Canis lupus familiaris: one gene and its partner. The protein of the gene in region 1 interacts with the protein of each later gene in a biochemical or structural test. Links are inferred from orthologs where the notes say so. Each region holds a gene or a part of one and is shown on either strand. Other genes may lie near its edges. The genes, in order: RACGAP1 and ECT2.

Region 1 (3,831 bases):
AGTGGAATTGAAAGAAGGAGATCTGACATTTAACTTTCTAATATTGAGTTATTTAAATTTGTTTCTAGTATATTTTACTTTCACAATCAAAAACTTAAGCGTGCCCAAAAGAACAAAGTGATCACAGATCTACCGTCTTAGAGACGAAGTCATGCAGGCGCATCCCTCCATTATTCTGCGGGGTGCCAGAGTTGTCTGTCTCAGTTTTTGGCTCTAGCTGCCTGCTGCTCAAGGTAGAGTCACTGTTCCAAGGCTGTAAAGTACCTAGAAAACAAGCAACTTTAAGCTTAATATTTTGTTCCTTCTGAATTTTAACCCCAAGTTTAATATAACTGGTAGATGACCAGTAATTTGTAACCATAATCAGAAGTGACTACAATCGCTATGCAGAAAAATCATTTCAAGAATAACAAGTTACCTGGAAAACTGTGTGGAGGTTCCTCAAAGAGTTAAAAATAGATCTGCCCTACAACCCAGCAATTGCACTGCTGGGGATTTATCCCAAAGATACAAATGCAGTGAAACACCGTGACACCTGCACCCCGATGTTTCTAGCAGCAATGTCCACAATAGGCAAACTGTGGAAGGAGCCTCGGTGTCCATCGAAAGATGAATGGATAAAGAAGCTGTGGTCTATGTATACAATGGAATATTCCTCAGCCATTAGAAATGACAAATACCCACCATTTGCTTCGACGTGGATGGACCTGGAGGGTATTATGCTGAGTGAAATAAGTCAATCGGAAAAGGACAAACATTATATTCATTTGAGGAATACAAAAATTAGTGAAAGGGAATAAAAGGAAAGGAGAGAAAATGAGTGAAAATATCAGTGAGGATGACAAAACATGAGAGACACCTAACTCTGGGAAATGAACAAGGGGTAGTAGAAGGGGAGGTGGGCGGGGGGTTGGGGTGACTGGGTGATGGGCACTGAGGGGGGCACTTGGCAGGATGAGCACTGGGTGTTATGCTATATGTTGGCAAATTGAACTCCAATAAAAAAATTAAAAAAAAAAAAAAAAGAATAACAAATTATAGGGCACCTGGCTGGCTCAATAGGTTGAGTATCTGACTCTTGATTTTGGCTCAGGTCAGGGTCTCATGAGTCATGGAATCGAGTCCCATGTAGGCTCCATGCTCATGGAGTCTGCTTGAAGATTCTCACCCTCTGCCCCTCCCCCCACTCTCACTCTTAAATAATCTATAGGAAAAAAAAAACAACAACGAGTTACATGTGAGTGGCATAGGGCAGGCTAGCAATCTAAAGGTAGAGTATGACAGTGTCCTGGCCTTCAGTAAGCAGCAGTAAGAAACCACCCACAACATCTACTCCCTGCCTCAAAAGGTTCTTAAAAAACCAAGTCTCCCCCAATTTTACTAGTTGTTTTACACAGGCAATTTAGTTAGAAACCCAATGGACCTGTTTTCCTTCGGCTTCTCATCCAATATGGTACAGTCTCAATTGTGGACACAGCTTCGATGGGCCCGCCATCATTGGGAACAGTCACCGTAGTTTTTGCAACTATAGATTCATTCCCCTGAAACAAAAGTAGAAATGAGGGAAGAACAAACATGTGAATCTCATTTCCCCTCCACTATAGGGTGTTTTGGAGTGGCTGAAAACTCCTAAATCTTGGCCAGGACTTAAGGCCCTAGCTCAAAACACTCAGTTGAAACCTTGTACTTTAGAACAGAAATATAGGTCACAGAGGCATACACATAAGCAACTACATAGAATCAAATACAAAACCAACAGTTGTTTACTCAGAGTGATTCCATTCATGTGGATGATAAGGATCCTATTATTACACAGAAAAACTCACCAAATCTCTCTCTCAAAATAACATTACAGCGTTGATTCAGGATTCTATTTATTTATTTGAGAGAGAGACAGAGAGAGCACAAGCAGGGTCAGGAGCAGAAGGGGAGGGAAAGGGACAAGGAGACTCCTCACTGAGCAGGGAGCCCAACGTGGGGCTTGATTCCAGGACCCCAAGGATCATATGTTTAACAGACTGAGCCACCCAGGTGCCCCTTGACTCAGGATTCTTAGTGCTTGGGGCCACTAATCTCTAATGTGTTCACAACCACAATTCTCTTGGCCTGACTATTCTTACCTGGTCTACTGTGGAGCCAATGGAACGAGTCTTCTTTACAGGTCCAGGGGGACCATCAATGAACTGTCGGCTACTAGAGCGCTGGAAAGGAGACAAAGACCAATTAGTTTAGTGCCAAATAGAAGACCTGAAGCACAGAAGATAACATTATTCCATTAGACAACTTGGGTACAAGTCCTAGGTACCAGGGCTATGGTAAATAACAATGTTAGTTAGTTAGTTAGTTAGTTAGTTAGTTAGTTAGTTAGTTAGTTAGTTATATATATCATTCTATTTCCACATAAAGCTTAAGTTGTACCAACACAAAAATGCCCTCAATGCCCTGGAAGAAACAACCAAGCTTTGGAAAAATTTAGATGACAGCACCAGAAAAAGTAGAGCTGTAATCCTATCAAAAGACATGAAGTCTTTGGACACATATTAAGTACCCTAAACAAGCACACACAGACAGAGCTCTGCATATCCCATTATACACGTACTTCATCTGAAAATTTTTTAGAGTACAAAAGTCCTGCGTAAAAATTCCTATGACAACTCAAAACAAACTTAAGTAAATCCTTTTCCAATATATGAATGAACTGAGGCAGCCAGAACAGTGAAATAGGACAAGATTCTGTCCTGAGTTACTACCTCGAGGATTGGCAATACAGCCCCCAGGATGAATTCATTTGTAATAGGTGTTTAAAAATGATTAGAGCAACATAAGTCAGGAATGCTGTATCATGGAAAAACTTCTAGAGAAAATTCCTTTATTGTAATTTTGTAAAAACAACAGCAAAAACTAAATAAAACCATACGTACCCTCTTTTCTCTCTTCTTTAGTTTGAAAGTCTTTACCAAGGAAGAATCCCAATCCTGTTGACAATTACACTGCATTAGTTTCTCTCTGTGGTTAGGCCTCCCCTAAACCCTGTGCAAATAAATTTACAGAAAACTTGAAAGGCTTTTTTTTTAAGAATTTATTTATTTATTCATGGGAAATAGAGAGGTAGAGACACAGGTAGAGGGAGGAGGCTCCCCACAGAGAGCCTGATGTGGGACTCGATCCCAGGACCCCAGGATCATGCCCTAAGCTGAAGGCAGACGTTCAACTGCTGAGCCACTCAGGCGCCCCTCGAAAAGCTTTTTGAGACAGACTGCCTGACAATTTGGGGAGAGGGAAAGGGGAGGGTCTCAAGTGCTATAGCTATAGAGCTATGGTGAGTTAACTTGCTTTATCTCCAAAATTGAAGCTATTATAATAGAGTCAGGAGTCAATACCACAGAGGCAAGAAAAGGTTAAAGAATCAACTTCTGTCGTGATTATCTCCAGTGCCTGGCCCTTTATTTCTGACTATTTCTGTAATTAGTTGTAGAACTCACAGAAGCTCAGGTACTATACTGATCAGGTTACATGTCCTTCTTGCTCTTAAGGGATTGCTATCATCTAACCAGACGTTCTGTACAATGTAGCCACTTAACAAGTTCTAGTTCAGGCTTTACATTTCTCAAACATCCTCTTCCTTGGGCCCCAACAAAGACATTCACCACTGAAGAATTTTTTTACCGTGGTCTAGTTTCACTTCACTTAAATAACCATTTACATTCACTTTTAGGAACCACCTATGACTTACTCCTGATAATCTCTGAAAACACAAAACCCAGAAACAGTAGAGAGCAAATGGTAGCTTAGCTAAATGAAATCTAAACTCTCCAATTCCTGGTCAAGTAA
Region 2 (3,216 bases), on another chromosome or scaffold:
AATGTGATTATCTAATGAGAAGCAATTTGAATAGTGGTTAAGAGCATGAACTCTGAAACTCACATGTTCAAATCCTGGCTCTGCTGTTTGGTAGCTGTATGACTTTTGGCAAGTTATTAAAATCTCTCTGTTTCAATTTCTCTATCAGTAAGATGAATTTAAAGTAGTAGTTGTAAAGATTAATTACGTTAATATACGCAAAGGACTTTGAACAGTTCTTGGAATATAATAAGTGGTTTAGCATTTTATGAATGGTTACCTTTTTTTATATGAAATTTATAGATGAGGTGTTAACGCACCTCATCTAGTAACTCTTATTTTTTTAAAAGCTAGTTAGGTCTAAGTCTTAAACACTTACAGTTAAATGTATGAGTATGTTTATACAAATTTTGGAGGAAGATTAACCTTCCAGTGGAAGGGAAGTTGTGCTTGACAATATAGATATATGCAAAGAAATTTGATAAATGAAAATGAGTTAATAGATAATAGACAATACAGTAAGGCCAAAGTCCTGTCCCTTGTTTATGTCCCGCATCTACATACCTACGTAACTCTTATAAACATTGCTTTTCAAATGGATGTAATTGGAATTCACAGAAAATTTTTAGAAAATTATTTGTAGCTTTTGTCACTTCTTTGTAGATAACATAAATAAGTATGTAAAATATCTTTAAAACATTGATGTCCTCTTCTCAATTGCTTATTTCTGTTCTAACAGATTGTCCATTCTGTTTCCACAAGCAATATAATTGGATTTACTAAGCATGTTTATGTACAGCGCTCAAACTCTACTGGTGGGCGCTCTCAAAACTCCTGGTTTCGATCTATCCGTCATTCTGCCTCACGAGCTAGTTTTTCAGAGATACTAAAAGGAACTATTGATTTTTCAAATTTCAAAAAAAGTCCTATCCAAGTCATCTTTGATATTTGTGAAGAATTAGGAGATATGCCAACCAGTAATGGAAACAAGCCTCGTGAAGTTTAATGTGAGCTTATTAGCTATTTGAAATTTGTATTTGTGAAAAGAAGAAAGTATACTTTCTTCACTGAATCATTATTAAGTGGGTGGGGATTTAGAAATTAGAAATTTTCCTATTTATGAAAGTGAGCATTTTAAGGAATAGTAATAATTTTGATGTAAAGTAGATTTTTATTCCAAATCTGATTCTTAATCTTAGATTTATGGCATTTATATAAAATTCATGCTTTTTAATATGGCAAATCATAAACGCTTCGCTTGAAGAAACTTTAAGCTTTTATACTATCTTCTTAAATCATCTTTGTTATCACTTAAATGGTAATACTTTACCAACGTAGCTCTTTAAATAAATACTACATTTTACTACATTGTTGATGAGAACTTACAATCAGCTACTTGGTTGGCTCTAGGTTTACTTACAGTTAGACATTCATATATGTTAAAGCAATAATAGCTTTCTTTATAATTCATCTTGATTTACACCCACTCTTCAATTTTTGGTGTTCTTGCGCATGTTTCTTTATTATTATTGAAAATTCTGATGATATTTAACTTTGACCTCTGAAACAAATATAGATAGCTTAGTAACTTAATAATCTTCAGAAGTGCTATATTTTGCTGTTTTTACATGGAGCAAAATTATACACCTACACCTATGTATGAATTGCACACATAGTACAAAAACTCTCTAGGAATATATGACCTTTAATTTTAGAGAACAATTTTTCATGAAGTAATTTCACTCTCTTAATTTTGCTTTATGATTAAGAAGAAACTACTAGGGCTTGTCTTTTTACCACAAAAACTTACTAATTTATAATTTTTTTAAAGAACCTGAAACAGTCTTTAATATCACACAGAAATACCCTATTACCAGTAAGCCAGTATCCCAGTTGACTTAATATATAATTAACCAGTCTGTGCATTTCTTTTTGTTTTTCAGAATGCTAAAATACTTTTGTGTTTTTTTCCCATCCCCTAATTTAAATTCATTTATTTAAAGAGTTTAGAATTCTCAGATGTTTTAAAATTGTTACATTAGGTTGTAAAAATAATCTGCATGATGCTAAAATGTTATTTTTTTTTTTAAGAAAAAATTTAAATATAAAAATATTTGTCTTGTCTTTACAGGGTATCCCATCTCCCTCCCTTATCAGCCTACCTTCCTTCTTTGAAAGAAGAAGTCATACTTTAAGCAGATCTACAACTCATTTGATATGAAGCTTAAAAAAAGTCTTAATTTAAAGCAACTTATAAACACTTCATGTTCAAATAAGAAACTGACTTAAATGGTACTTGTCATTAGCACTTGGTGAAAGCTGGAAAGAATATAGATAACACTAAAACTGTCATTTGATTTTCTTCTTGAATGAGTAAGGTTAACCTCTTACATATTTTTGAGTTAATTCATGTAAAAATTATATTGATTTTGATGTAATTTTTCTCTTCACTCGAATCCTTCATTCTAAGACCAATAATTTAAGTTATTCATATTAGTAGCCTTGCAACTTGATAATAGTAAATAAATTATATTGGTGAGTACCAAATACTGCTGTGACTCTCTGTGTATAGTGTCCATGAATGAATTTTTGGAAATTCCTATTTGTGTATCTCAATTTGTGAAGAAATTAAGTGATAATACAGAACTTACTAGATAAAACACCTGCACAGATTTCTGGTTAATAGTGGGGACTTGTTTCAAATGTGCTGTTTGAAGTAGTTATTTAACTGTTCTGTTGCAGTTTATTTTATTCTCTAATGTTTTCAAAATGTAGAGTGTGGGTTTTAAAAGATTTGCCCTTATTAACAAGAATAATAATTAAAGGAGATGGTTTTAAAATACTTTTGCAAATTGAGATAAGAACAGAGAGTTTAAAAAATAATGTATATTTTGGCAAACATGGTATTAGTATATACTTGTAACTTTTTCAGGGTCCATATATTTTGAGTGATTTTAGCCACTAGCAAATCTTCATTTAGTTTGATAGTGTGAGGAATTTTATTTTGAAGGGTAAGACCATGGGGGAATTGTGGTATGGACTATTATATACTCTATGAGATAATTCTAAAATTGGCATCAGTTTTACTAATCTGCTATAAGATATGTAGATATGTGTATGGTCTACCTTTTATTTTGGTCTCATAATTAAGTGTAAAATTGAAATACATTTATTTGCTGTTGTAAAATATCTTTCAAACCCTGATGTTAATTTTCCCAATAGTTTTTTTTTTTATAG

Evidence for each region.
Region 2: the proteins of RACGAP1 (region 1) and ECT2 form a complex in vitro, tested with the Homo sapiens proteins (3 studies listed by BioGRID and IntAct, with this or other methods). The link is inferred for Canis lupus familiaris from reciprocal best matches to the Homo sapiens genes RACGAP1 and ECT2.

Annotation. Positions count from the first base shown.
Region 1 is NC_049248.1:41,943,357-41,947,187, forward strand, and holds part of RACGAP1 (rac GTPase-activating protein 1), read right to left. Parts: intron 2,976-3,831; coding exon 2,922-2,975; intron 2,202-2,921; coding exon 2,121-2,201; intron 1,542-2,120; coding exon 1,424-1,541; intron 265-1,423; coding exon 134-264; intron 1-133.
Region 2 is NC_049255.1:37,204,823-37,208,038, forward strand, and holds the end of ECT2 (protein ECT2), read left to right. Parts: intron 1-718; coding exon 719-985; 3' UTR 986-986; intron 987-2,110; coding exon of another isoform or gene 2,111-2,200; 3' UTR 2,201-2,581; downstream 2,582-3,216. UniProt on the Homo sapiens protein: Guanine nucleotide exchange factor (GEF) that catalyzes the exchange of GDP for GTP. Promotes guanine nucleotide exchange on the Rho family members of small GTPases, like RHOA, RHOC, RAC1 and CDC42.